Linked DNA regions of Medicago truncatula. Each later gene encodes a partner of the first gene's protein in a complex. Links are inferred from orthologs where the notes say so. Each region holds a gene or a part of one and is shown in the gene's direction. Other genes may lie near its edges.

Region 1 (7,115 bases):
ATGGCCTAAATGTTAACAGCAAGTGAGTACAGCAACCATAGCCGGCAGAATCAGCCGGTAACAGGGCCTGCCGAGCTGAACTTGCCAAGAGTGCTGTGGATCCTCTCTTCCACCTTAGAGAAGCTGGTGTCTCGCAATGAAAAGCTAGTAGATGAGTTGAACCAGGAACTAGATAAGCTGAATAATGGCTCAGTAAGATTAGGGAAGAGCTTGAATTTGTTTCATGGCGTAAGAGCACCAGGAATAAGCATACCTAAGTACTTGGAGAGGATATACAAATACACTAATTGTAGCCCATCATGTTTTGTGGTTGGCTATGTGTATATAGACATGCTGACTCACAAGCACCCTGATTCTCTAGTCTTATCCTTGAATGTGCACAGGTTGCTAGTTACCAGTGTCATGGTTGCTTCCAAGATGCTAGATGATGAGTGAGTCCCTAACCCCATTTTACTTCTCCTAAAGCTTACTGTTTTATTGCACTATTAAAGGAACTGAAGTTGATTTAAAGGCCTATTTGGATTAGCTTATCCGAGTTTATCTATTACATAAACACTTATGAGACTCTTTGAGAGAGCTTATGAAAACTACTTGTGATATGTCCATTAGTTGTTTTTTTTTTTTTTGCTTATTATCATAAGTTCTCTATGATAGCTTAGAAAAACAATTTATAGTTTATATGAAAACAGATCGACTTTATTTTATTTTTTGTTATCGAAATAGTTTATGCATAAACACTTAAGCTATAAGTGCTTAATTAAGCTATTTATCCAGGCCTTTTAAGTAATGGTTAGTTTTACTTCTCTTTTAGCTTACTGTAATATCGTCTTTGTTCTGATTTTGTGCATCATGTTCTTTGGTTTTCTGAGCTGTAGACATTATAACAACGCGGTATATGCTCGAGTAGGAGGGGTTAGCAATGCTGAATTGAACAAGCTGGAATTAGAGTTACTCTTTCTGTTGGATTTTAAAGTTATGGTATGCCCTCGAGTTTTTGAGAGTTACTGTTTGCACTTAGAAAAAGAGATGCTTGTAAATGGAACTGGCTTGAAGATTGAAAGGATATTGTCACCAAAATCTTTTGAGACTGAAATATCAGTTGAAGATCAGCAAAGCTCTTCCCCACCTCCAATTGTGGATTATGGACTGACATAAGTACTTTTCTTTCTTTCTGTTGTCAATTTTGGGGTCCCTTGCCCTGTTTAGTCCTTCTCTTTTTCTTCATGGCTAAGCAATTATTGGATTATTCATTGGCCAGTTTCTTATTTATATGAATATGATTGATACGAACTTTGTCAAATTTGGCTTTAGTTGTAACAAAATACAATTATATTCATTGTTCTCTTTAAATTTTATTTTTCCTAAAGCTTGTTATTCTTGGAGTCATCATATAATGTACTTAATTAAATGATAAAAGTTATACAAACTTAAAGTGATGTATGTCTTCTTTTTCTCTCATTCTCACTTTTCTTTTTTGGTTAATTTTTTTATCACGTGATTTTGTCAAAATAAAATGAAAGATAGAATGATCAAAGAAATAATTTAATTTTCAAACCCTACTATTACATCAGAACCAATTATGTATGTGAGTTCAAAAAAAAAAAAGTTATAGTAAAAGTTTAACGTTTCTAATTTTTTTTTTTTTGAAAAAAAAAAGGTTCTAATCATCTAACATTTTATAATTGATTGCCAATTTAATTTACAATGTATGTTTAATTTAATTTAATTAAATACATAATTTGACGCACCCAATTTTTCTAAAAAGGAAAGATAGAAGAACGAAAAAAAAATTAATTTTTTTTAAGGAGAAAAAAAAATTATTATAAGACTAATGATTATTTTACTATTATTCTATATGAGATTCGAACTCAATTCCTTTTACTGTTGTTTTATGTGAGATTCGAATTTTGTTCCATGATGTTAATTTAATGCACTCACTTATATGAAGAATATATGAATTTAGCCAATAAAGGTTGGTTTAGATGGTATGAAGTTGAATGCATGTTAAGCAAAAAAACGAGTTCAACTCTTGCAGCCGTGTTTGATGAATGATATGTAAATATATTTGTAAGCCTCCTTTAAACCTTGAGATTTATCCTGACTCTAATGATCCCTCAAGATCCAACCAATCTAAACTTTTTTTAAAAAAAAAAAAAAAAAAACAAGAATATATAAATTTATCATAGACGAGTTCTTTCTTTGCAACTCAATTTTCTTCAAATGCAAGACTAGGCATGTCAATGGGGCAGGGTGGGGTCGGGTTTTACCTTCCCCGTCCCTATACCTGATTTTCATATACTTACCTGTTACCCTACCCATACCCAACGGGGATGAGAAATTGAATCTCATCCCCATCCCCGACGGGTTCGGGTATCCCCACTCCATCCCCATCCCCCGTATCGAATAATTTTTTTTAATAAAAAATAGAAGTGTTTTGCATCCCCAAGAGAAACGTTGTAATACATTATCCAACAATATGCTCACTTTAACATTTGTTAGACAGAATGATTTAGTTGATCCTTTAAATATCAATGGTAGTTTTTATTAACATGACAATTATCAAACAAAATAACATACATTTGTTAGACGGGTATGGGTTCGAAGTGGGTACCTAAATACCCGTTACCCGTCCCATACCCGTGTTTTGAAATCGGGGAAAATCCATACTCATACCCAAACCCAGTCAAAACGGGGAAAACCCGTCAAATTGAGTTTGGTTCGGGCGGGTAACTGCGGGTATGGGTTTTGTTACCATGTCTATGCAAGACGCATGAATCTAACTCGTGCTAAGTTACTTATGGTCTCTTTGGTTGAAGATAAATAAGGAAGAGAGAAAGAGGGAAGAGAGAGCAACTTTCTCTTGTTTGGAACGAAGAGAAATAGGAAATAGAGATTAAAAAGTAATGGGATCCATCACTTTTTGGTTTCTCCTCACAATAGAGAAGAAAATAGAGAAGAAAGGGGAGACAGAAGACTATTCACTTTGTTGTTCCATTGTTGCCCTTGCATTAAAATATTATATTCTCAATCTATTCACTTTATTGTAGGGGTATCTTGGTATTTTTATAAATAATCAACACTTCTTTCTCTTCTATTTCTCTCATCTCTTTTATAACAAACAACCCATCAAATCTACTCTATTTCTCACATATTTCTCTTTTCTCACTCTCTCTCTCTCTCTCTCTCTCTCTCTCTCTCTCTCTCACCTATTTCTCTCTTCACAACTTGTCTTCCAAACCAAACACACCCAAAGTGTCTAAATCCTTTATCACTCGAGCCAACCCACATATGAATTTACTTAAAATATGAATTTCTTGTTTAAGGGACTTGTGCTCCTTAAATATGTAGTTAGGGGTTCAATCCTATGCTCTTATGTGTGGAAAAAAATCAGATTGAAAATAAAGAATCCACCTTATATGTCTCACATGTTCTCCAACATATAAAAAACAATTATTTTTAATAAACTTGTCCATATTTTTATTAAAGAAATTAAAATATTTCTTTTTGAGTTTGTCTAACATTTGTAATATTGCACATGTTTAAAGCAACTAAAAATAGTATTTTTTTTATTGAAAGACAACAATAATTTATTAAAAAACTACATATTTAATATAAAATGAACAAGTTTCAAGACAAAGTTACTATTTTAAACTTCTTAACATGTGCAAATTTTCACTTGAAGAAAAACCTCTTTTTTTTTTATATGAGAAAATACCTTTATTTTTTATTTTTTATAAAACGGGTAATAGTAAAAAAAAAAAAAAAAAGGAGAATGACTATAATATAACAAAACTCTAGAATGTTATTTATTTGCCGGTAAAAGTTGGTTTAGTTGATAATGAGTTGAAATCTTATATCTCAAAATGAATAATATGATGAGTATTGAGACTCAATTTATCTAAACTTTCTTTTTGATAGCAACTCTCCCAAACTTTTTAATAAAAAAAAAGAATGTCATTTAGTTTTTATATTCTTTAATGAAGAAATAAATGTTTATTTTTAAGATAGATGCAAAAAAAAAAAAAAGTTTAATTTTAAAGCTAAAAACATGATTACTTACTTTTGTTTTTTATCTTTTAACCTAGGACGACATATTCATAAGATAAGATAAAATAATAGGATATTGGTAAAATTGGAAGAGAAACTTGGAAAGAACCTCTGACGACAGCTCATAGGCGCAGTTGTTGACGGCAAACGAACGGAGACACAAATAAAACAAAACATCATCTTTCTTCTTTGTATTTGAACAACGTTAATTCATTCAATTGTTTTTTTTTGTTCAAATTCCGGTGAGGCCTACGGTGGTGAAACATGGCCGTGTCTGGTGGTGACAACGATGATGCCTCCAAACTAGACCTCTTTCACCTCATCAAACGCTTTGGTGCTTTTGTTACTTTCAAGATCGGTCATCTCTTCTCTCTCGTATTCCTCTCTCTCTCTCTCTCTCTCTCTCTCTCTCTCTCTCTCTCTTCCTTTTTTCAATTATTGATCATTCTATTGGATCTGATATATGATATCAAAATATTGTTATTGTTTTTTTTTGTGATATATGATTGGTTCTATTTTCACTGTTATGTAAGAAATTTGATATTTTTAATGAATTTTTTTATGACCCTTTATCGTTGATTGAATGATTAGGAACCAGGGTTGGATAATTAACAACCCAAAGAGTGGAAGTTTGTTTTTTTGTTAGAAACTTTAAATGGGTTTTTCGCTTTTAATGTTGGGTGTGGGTAGAAACTAGGAAAAATGAGCTTTTATGTGTCATGGTTTTTGTCAAATTGGGGAAAAATTGTGACCTAATATGTATTTAAATAAGGTATAGTTTAAGTTGGATTGTACAAATGATCAATGTAATGTTTTGGTTTTTTTTGGAGGATGTGTAAATAAGGACTTTTACACTATCAATCAATAATGCTTGTTAAATTGTTAAAAACATTTGTCTTTAATCATTACTACTTATAAAATTACATATATGATTAGAAACAACAACATTAAAGAGAGAGTTGGGGTAGCACCGATGGGAGAAAAGATTGTGGAGACTAGGCTTAGGTGGTTGGGCATATATTGCAGAGAGAAGACTTGTAGATTATGTATTAAGGAGAGTAGATTAGATGGAAGGTAGTCAGATCACTAGTGGTAGAGGAAGACCTGAAAAAACTATAAGAGAAACTATTAGGACAGATCTAGAGATTAATGAGTTGGATCGAAATATGGCATATGATAGAACATTATGGTGTAGTTTGATCCATGTAGCTAATCCCACTTAGTGGGATAAGGCTCTCTCGGTTGTTGTTGTTGTCGACAATATAAAACTTTTGACACAAATAGTGTCTCAAAATTAAACTCGTGTAAATATTCCAAAGCTCATGATATTGTACTTGTTATTAGGATATTCGCACTATTGGGGCGGTAGCTGGTCTTGCTGTTGCGATTGTTTTCACTTGGAGGTTGTTGAGATCTCCTAATCCTACACAAGGGAGGCAACGGAAAAGGCAAGGTGGTGCATCTAGTAATCCTGGAGCTAGCACAAATTCAAATGCGTCGGTTGTTCCTTCTGATGCTTCTTTACCTTCAGATGAATTAAGGGCACAAAATGTTGTAGATGAGTTCTTTCAGCCAGTCAAGGTATGATGTTTTATTTTGTTTCCCACTTTCCTTTGCTTAATGATTCAGAATTCAGCCAATGCATGAATGTTTGTGGATTAATATCCGCTGTATTTTTTTATAGCTTTAGTATTCTAAGTTTGCTTTTTTCTCAATTTTTTCAGCCAACCTTGGGGCAGATAGTGAGGCAGAAGTTGAGTGAAGGAAGAAAGGTAATTAAACATATTCTCTCATGCACTCTTTATGTAGTAGTGATGTGTGTTCCAGACTTAGTTTTATGTTTATTATAGCCTTCTAGAAATTACCATCTCCTGTGATCATAAGAAATGACAATTTGGGAGACCACCATTGTCTTAGAATTTAAATTCTTAATCTACTTAAGGTTAAATTAACATGTCATGGCAAATTACCTGTTTATAGCTTTATAGATTAGAATTGTTGACATATGTCGATTGATTGTTATTACTCCTAGAGTATACAACTTCCTAGGCTAGTGCTTATTAATTAAGCATTCAATGTATTTATTGTAAAACCATTATAAATACAAAGTCTGTGATCTCATTATAGACCCACAAGAGACACGCAGAATTTACACGAAGTTTATATATTTTACCGACATCAATAACAATCTCATTACTTTAGGGAAACTTAAAATAAGTATTCATTAAATTAATGCTTTATAAGTTGATTTATTTAAAAGTGAAGGTTGTAAGTAAAGCCAGCTTTAAAATACAAGCTAATTTTATGTTTCTCTTTAGGTTAAAGGATGGTGCTTTAATTTGTTATATCTTTTATTTTGTCTATCTTAATAAGCGGCACTGGTACTATTCTTTTTCTCTTAATACACCTGAATAAGATTGTTATATGCATATCTTTGTGCAAAATAGTTGGGTACAAACTGGATGGACATGAGGAACATTTATTTACAAGTCTGTGTTGTTGGTTGTTAAACATTTGTTTGACCTATGTTTCCCGGCTATTATGACCAATAAGTTGTATGTAGGTAACCTGTCGTCTTCTTGGAGTGATCCTTGAGGAAAGTAGTCCAGAGGAGCTTCAGGTGTGAAATTGTCGTTTCTTATACTTTTGTTTTATTTTATGACATCAACACAGAGAGATAGCAATGCTGTTCATTCTGTTCTCTGCAGACCAAAGCCACTGTGAGATCCTCTGTGCTAGAAGTATTGTTGGAAATAACTAAATTCTGTGATTTATATCTCATGGATCGGGTTCTGGATGACGAAAGCGAGGTGTGTGTCACTTATCACCATATATTAATCACTCATCACGTCTTATGTAATGAACTTGATGGAAATGATGCACAATACTTCATGTTATATATGCTGCAAATTCACCATTTTTCAGTGTTATGGATATTTTTTTATGACCGAATGATTCTGTAAAAATGAACTGGGATATGGTAGTTACTTGAAGCAAAAACTCTTACCCTAAGATTCAGAACATGAAATTTAAGCTAGTTTTTTTTTTTTGGAGAAATGATATTTGAA
Region 2 (7,345 bases), on another chromosome or scaffold:
AACTATTCTTAGACGATGATAAACATTATTCTCTGTGGTACAAATTACCATATCTGACTCTGCATTGATTTGTTCTAATTGAGCTTTTTGTTGTCAGTTTGACCGAAATTCAGAATGCACGTGGTATTATGGACGTTCTTGCAGAAATGCTCACTGCTTTAGAGCCTAGTAGTAACAAAGAAGTAAGATGTTCAATTTGAGCTTTCAAATTATGATGTATCTAGATAGAAAAATATCATGTGAAACTTGAGGGTTTTATCAATGGGGGAAAAGCACCGATTTTTTTGAATATGTAGCATTAGTGCATTACATGTATGACCGTTACTTCTATGTTTAGGGCCTCCGGCAGGAAGTTATTGTTGATTTGGTGGAGCAATGTCGCACATACAAGCAAAGAGTGGTACACCTTGTTAATTCAACTTCGTAAGGCCTGCTGTTCTTTTTCATGATGACCACATCATCATATTCTTTACATGTTAAATTCATTTTGTGTATTCTTGAGGAAATTTCTTATTTAAATCCAAAGAAAAAACTAGTTATTATTTATGGTTTAATTTTCTCCAGGGATGAGTCACTTCTATGCCAAGGACTAGCTCTTAATGATGATCTGCAGCGTGTACTTTCCAAGCATGAATCCATTTCTTCGGGAGCTGCTGTTCAAAATCACAAGCATGAATCCATTTCTTCAGGAGCTGCTGTTCAAAATCACACTGAGAAACCAAATCCTGAACCTAGTGGAGCACTTATAGATGTTGATGGTCCTTTGATTGATACTGGAGATACTAGTAAACAAACTGATGCGAGGTAGTCCAATGTCTATTTCCGCTCTCCATTTCTACTCTCTGCATTCATTTACATAGGATACTATTGTTCTTAACTCTTACCCAATTATAATTCAAGTAATTCATTTTTCACCCTGTTATAATACACGTGATTCTTTTCTGTTTGCTATTTTCTTCTTGACACAGTGATTTTTCTAATTCAAAATAAATCAAAAATTATATTTGCCCAATGAAACTGGGAAATTTTTTTATATTGTTTCTAGTGGTCTGATCTCTTTGCTTTATGGGGATTTGAAGATGAGTTTTGGCTTAAAAGCTAGGGCTGTGTGAAGTTCTGTGCTAATTTATTTTGGATTGTTAGGGCTTGTTTGATTGTATTTTGGTTTTTAGTTTTTAAAACCAGTATTACCTGTTTTGATTTTCAAGTTTTAAAAACAAGAAAACAAGAATCATTTTTGTAAAACAATTTCACTAAAAAGTTAATCAGACAAGTTTTTCAGTTTTTATTTAAAAACTGAAAAATGGATTTTAGTAAGGGAATCAAACACTTAGTTTTTTTCATTCTTCTTATTTGACCTGGGAGCATTATGTGTCACAGGAAGTCTCCATTTATGTGTTTTACTCTATGTCGGAGCAATGGATCATAGGCTTAGTTTTGGCTGAAGATTTGTGTATATTAAGTATAAACATGCAGAAATAGATTGGTGTCGAAAAGCATTTCAAGTTGACTAAACCTGTCTGGTGCCTTTTGGTTATATTATATGGCTCTCAAGTTAATATGTTTTTTTACAGATCATCTTCTAGTGCTGAAGCAGGGTCTCAAACATTTAATCAATTGTTGCTTCCTGCACCCTCTACATCAAATGGTTCGGCTCCTCCAGTAAAAGTTGATCCCAAATGGGATCTGCTCAGTGGTGAAGAGTATAACTCACCAAAAGCAGATAATTCACTTGCTCTTGTTCCTGTAGAACAACAGCCTGCCAGTCCTGTGTCTCAACAGAATGCCCTTGTTCCTTTTGATTTGTTTTCTAATGGAAACATTGTACCCACTTCTGTTAATACCCAGCTAATAGCCCCCCAATTTCAACAACAAACTATCATATCTCAAGGTGTATTTTACCCGAATGGAAGTATGCCTAATGTGGGATCACCTCGGTACGAGCAATCAATATATACTCAAAACACAGGTCCTGCCTGGAATGGTCAGGTTGTGCAGCAGCAACAGCAACAGCCACCTTCACCCGTTTATGGTGCACTTAATGCTTCCTTTTAGATTTAATTCCTGTCTTGCTCAACTCCTTTCACAATTATGTTCTATTCTTTATAGTAGTTTCTATGATTTCTGATCTTTACTTTTGAGTTGGTTCATGAAATTTTCGTATACAGGTGCACAAAGTGGTGGATCATTTCCCCCTCCTCCTTGGGAAATTCAACCTGCAGACAATGGTAGTCCAGTAGCCGGCAGTCAATACCCGCAGCCACTGCAAGTCACGGTACATGTACAAACTGCTGCCCTTCCTCAGGGACCTCAAGCAACCGGGTATGACCAGGCTGCTGGAATGTATATGCAGCCAAATGCTAGCCATTTCTCTTCAATCAATAACCAGGTTCAAAGTAACCAATTTGGTTTGCAGCCTCCGTATATTCAGGGTGTTGCAGGTCCTTATATGGGCATGGTTCCGCATCAAATGCAAAATGGTCCCGTGGCTTCCATGTATCCTCAACAGATGTATGGTAACCAATTTATGGGATATGGCTATGGTCAGCAACAGCAACAAGGGCCTCAATATATCGAGCAGCAAATGTATGGTTTATCTGTGAGAGATGATAATGCTTCAAGAAATCCTTACCAGGTTTCTGCTGCATCTTATGCGCCATCCGGAAAGCCTTCCAAGCCTGAGGATAAGTTATTTGGAGATCTTATTGACTTTTCAAAAGTGAAACCAAAATCCACTCCAGGCCCCAGCTGATAGCCCTTAAAAAACTAAGATTTGTTTTTTTGCCTTTTTCACTTGTTTGCCTACTCTTGCCATTTTTTTTCATTATTCTTTACATTTTACTTTCTTTATAGTAATATAATATATATGTATATTTTTGTTTTGTTACTGTTCCATATTGTTTTGCTTCTCTGCCAACCGGCGATAGATTTAGGCTATAATAATATTTCTTTTTTTATCCCTGTAATATATATATATATACCTACATTTTCACTTTGGTCCCTGATTTTTTATTTTTTTTGGAGTGATCTCCATTAAATGTATTCGTTTCATTACGGTCCTTGTTATACTATGGGGTTCCTTTTAGTTTTGTTCCCCATCATTTTTTTTTTCCTGTCCGCACTCCTTGTTTTCTCACTCTATGAACACCAATATTGTCTCCATTTTTTATTTTTTTGAGTGATCTCAAAAACGGGCAAACGGATCACTCCTGCTGTTTTGGTACTGCCATCTTCCCTGTGCACTTTTCAAGCGTTGGATTTAATCCAACAGTGTTGACAAAAGAGGAAAATGAGTGGTAAAGACAAAATCGAAGGCTGAGATTAATGTAGAATGTAAGGCTGGAGAGAACTAGCAGGAGAGGATCCAAAATTCAAAAGCGGAGTTTTTTTCCTTCTCAAAAACGGTGATTGGTTGGTGACCGACCACATCAAGTGATTTGTTTAGGTTCACCGATGGTTCTTCTAATTTAAAGTCACCCTTGGTTTATGCTTAATTAGTTCCATATATGATAGGGTCTCGACCCGAAAAAATGGGTTTGAAATGGAAAATATATATTACAGAGACTTAAATAATATTATATGGATTAAAGAAATAACGAGGATCAAAATGATAATATAAGATTGAATTCATAAAAAAGTTAACATTGAAAATGGACACCAATTATACTTGATTTGTGTACCCTAATTATCATATGAGAAAATGGGACATGCACTATAATTATAAAACTAGCCTTGACAATATAAATAGTTCTTATCAAACGACAATGTAAAACTAATTTACACTATTAGTGCATATTCCCTAAACTATTATTATTTATCAAATTAGATTAAAGAAAGATAGTATGTATTATTAGAGTAAACAAGTTTTATATTTATTTTTGAATGAGAAATTATAGTTGTTATGTTAGTAATTTTTCCTTACTAAGACTTAAACTAAAAGAATAAAAAAATGCAATTGTTAGTTTTAAAAGATGGTTACAAGATATATTCGTATGATGATGGAAAATTATTTTACACCATCATCATCACTAATCTCGTAAAATTATAGTGCACACTAAATTATTCAATAAAATTAAAAGTTAAAAAAATTATAAAAAAGAAAGTCAGCTGGAATCCAATCCCCATAATTGAGAAAAAGATAGAGAAAAAGAAAAATTAAATAATACTTTTTCTCAAAAATAAATAAATAAAATTAAATAATGACTATTTTTTAAATAATTAAATAAAATGTATTTTATGTGTGAGTGTCTAAATGACAAAAGGTTGCGTCTAAGGAAGACTTTCAACCAATCCCCTAGTGCCGTTTTGTCTATCTGTACGGTCTCTCCCGTGCAATTCTCCGCCGTTGTATTAATCCAACGGTTGATTCACAAAAGGGAAAAGTATCAATTAGAGGAGAGAGAAACGAATGTAGTGATAATTTTCTTCGACATTTTTTGAGATTTCTTCACCTCTTTTTCTTGTTGTGAATATCAATCATGCAGGTTCGTTCGTTAATGGATGCAATTCTTAGTGACTTCAATTATCTTGTATTGAATTGATTAGTAGGTCTTGTTTGTTGGTGGTTATTGGTTAGTTAGGGTTATGCAAAATTGGATTTGTGTTCTTGTAATTGCAGAAAGCTTAGCATATTGAAATTGGATTTGTTTGTGTTTTTAACGCAGGCATCAAGGGCGAGGCTGTTCAAGGAGTACAAAGAAGTGCAACGAGAGAAGACAGCTGATCCTGATATTCAACTCGTTTGTGATGATTCCAACATTTTTAAATGGACAGCTCTAATCAAGGTATGCTAGCGAATGCTCTCGACGATTAGAATATGGTTTATGATAGAACATTATGACGTAATTTGATCTGACCCCACATAGTGGGATAAGACTTAGTTGTTATTGTTGTTGGGATGATCTGAGATTTGCTCTGGTTTATTTTGTTTACCACCAGGGACCTTCAGAGACTCCGTTTGATGGGGGTGTTTTCCAGCTTGCATTTTCTGTTCCAGAGCATTATCCTTTACAACCTCCTCAAGTTCGGTTTTTGACTAAAATATTTCACCCCAACGTGCATTTTAAGGTACAATGGATTGCTCTGTAAGATACTATCAGATTGTTGTTTGCTGATGCTTTTCACTTTTAGAACACAATTGTATGATATCTGAAGAGAATTATATCATCCTAATTTGTTTTGCTGATGAATGATTTATCAAGCATTCCATATAAGTGATGATAATAGTTTAAAAATAGGGTAAATTGCATTGCATTGCCCTGAGATATGTTAAAATATCACACATACACCCTCTAGTTTGCCAAAGACACTAACCTCCCCCAACTTTAACACTGTTACCCGACAAAAAGAGAAAAAGTTTTTGTCTGCCGTCTTCTTCATTTGGTGTCTCATCTGTGAAACTGGCTTTCTGAGCCTAAAGCTCCGCTGCTGGAGGGTAATAATTGTATTTTTCTAAAGTCTGGTGTGAATGATGGATACACCCCGTGCCTTTGCTTTTTTCAGTTTGGTGTTTGACTTCATATATTGTCTACAAAATCAAGAACACGATGACAATAGCTAATAATATATCAAATTGGTTGGTCTATTTTCATCTTGGTTTGGCTGGTAAAACTTAATTATCTCCATGCCAAATTGAGCAACTAATATACCAAATTGGTTGGAACATGGCAGCACTAATATGCCTCACATGATTGGGGTATTGAGCCATTATCTAGATGTCTGCACCCTGTATGCCACTTGTTGTCGGGTTAACAATAAGCCGACCAATTTGGGTGAACTTTACGCTCATTGAACTTGTTGAAGTATGGATTTTAATTGGCAAAATAAAATGTACCAGTAAGTTAATGTTAATTCGGCAACACATGGTAATTCAGGTGCTGTATTTTAATTGTGATGGAAAAGGTAGATTTAGTAAGAGAGTAGCTTTACCAATGTCGTCATGCTTTCTTTGCATATTCCCTTCTTTGAAGATTATTTGCTGAGTGAGGGAAAGTAGTCTGACGCAATGTTTTAAAACCCTAACCGCAGCCGGGATCAACCCAGTCAAGGCCCTGTGTTAGTAGTCTAGTTGAACCGCATGACTGTTGACCCAGTTTATATTAAAATATAAATCGTTACAAATTTATTACTTATAAATACATATACTAAATTTATTTTTAATTTGATAAGTCTTGAAAGTTAACGTTATAACAATATAGTTTATAAAAGTTAAATGTTAATATATACTTTTTTTCGAAAAAAGTAGTAACATACATATTAAAGCAAGTAATCTAACACAGAAAACTAGTAACATCAGTTATATATATATATTTAAACAAGTAGAAGTGATAATTTTGCAAGATTCCACGTTTTCCCAGCAGTTAAGGATGTAAAGTAGCACATCAATTGTCTCATGTTCTACTCCTTAGAGATCCAGTGCCATTTATTTAATTTTTGATGTAACTACAAACCAGTTTAACTGTTGAATAGAACCGGTTCGACCAGTTCAACTGGAAATCAACCGGTTCATATGCTTATCTGGTCCAACACAGTGACTGGACCAGCCATGGCTCTGGTTTCCGGTTCGGCCTGTCCGGTTTTTAAAACTATGTTCTGAGGAATTTTTGTTTTAATGGATGGAAAACGATGTTAATTTATAAGGGAGGCAGCTGTCACCTTCAAAATTAAACGAGGATAGAGCTTGATTTAAAAATAGAGGGGATGTCTGTGTTATTTGAAGATATCCCAGGGAAGTCATTGTAATTTGTACTTAAAAATATCTAGTAGTTGTTCACATGAAGAGTGAATGGGATCTGATACCCTAGTAGTCTCTTTCATAGTTCTATGAACCATCAGTGTGAAATTAGGGGTATTCACAAGTTGGCTTGTTTCGAGTTTGTGGTATAAGAGGATCCAAACATGTTGCATGTGATTAGATTGGTTTTAATTTTTTTCTCTCCAGCCAATCCGAATCAAACAGCTGAATTAAGATTTAGACTGGTGTGGTTGTCTTGACTGCCTTCTCTATAATGGGAAGACCAATGATGTTGATAAGTTAGAGACTGGTAATTTCCACTATTACACCCCCTCCCCTTTGAGTTTCATAAGAACTTGTTGGAAACTGACAACAATATTGATTTGAAGTTGAATTCCTAGTCAATTATTTTTGCTTTCCTTTTGTTCTTTATAAATTTGATAGATAACTTCATTTTATTCAATTGGATTTGTTTTTCTTGACATTTTTTCATGAATACTTTTTAAACTTCTAATAATTTTCCAGACCGGAGAGATTTGCCTAGATATCTTGAAAACTGCTTGGAGCCCCGCATGGACTCTGCAATCTGTTTGTAGAGCTATAATTGCATTG

What was found.
Region 2: the proteins of peroxisome biogenesis protein 22 (region 1) and protein PEROXIN-4 are in contact, whole or in part, in a crystal structure (PDB 6XOD), measured with the Arabidopsis thaliana proteins. The link is inferred for Medicago truncatula from reciprocal best matches to the Arabidopsis thaliana genes PEX22 and PEX4. Residues at the interface, in NP_566696.2 of Arabidopsis thaliana: Tyr182, Val187, Leu188, Asp189, Asp190, Glu193, Asp214, Lys215, Leu217, Phe218, Cys219, Ser220, Thr221, Gly224, Ser227, Phe228, Arg230, Gln231, Leu232, Glu233; in NP_001031939.1 of Arabidopsis thaliana: Phe78, Phe84, Lys85, Asn125, Asp127, Asn130, Leu131, Gly135, Asp136, Val137, Arg138, Gly139, Ser142, Met143, Met146, Tyr147, Arg149, Leu150.

The regions. Positions count from the first base shown.
Region 1 is NC_053043.1:43,578,388-43,585,502, reverse strand, and holds the start of peroxisome biogenesis protein 22, read left to right. Parts: upstream 1-4,109; 5' UTR 4,110-4,311; coding exon 4,312-4,422; intron 4,423-5,391; coding exon 5,392-5,628; intron 5,629-5,771; coding exon 5,772-5,819; intron 5,820-6,610; coding exon 6,611-6,667; intron 6,668-6,755; coding exon 6,756-6,857; intron 6,858-7,115. Other genes in the region: cyclin-U1-1, read left to right, coding at 10-431, 876-1,155. UniProt on the Arabidopsis thaliana protein: May be tethered PEX4 to the peroxisome membrane and may be involved in a late step of the matrix protein import. Does not play a role in the biogenesis of the peroxisomal membrane.
Region 2 is NC_053044.1:54,405,052-54,412,396, forward strand, and holds the start of protein PEROXIN-4, read left to right. Parts: upstream 1-4,331; 5' UTR 4,332-4,478; coding exon 4,479-4,484; intron 4,485-4,664; coding exon 4,665-4,784; intron 4,785-4,938; coding exon 4,939-5,067; intron 5,068-7,258; coding exon 7,259-7,345. Other genes in the region: TOM1-like protein 9, read left to right, coding at 98-182, 338-423, 565-804, 1,575-2,032, 2,169-2,752. UniProt on the Arabidopsis thaliana protein: Required for peroxisome biogenesis. Necessary for the developmental elimination of obsolete peroxisome matrix proteins. May be involved in the ubiquitination of PEX5, targeting it for recycling.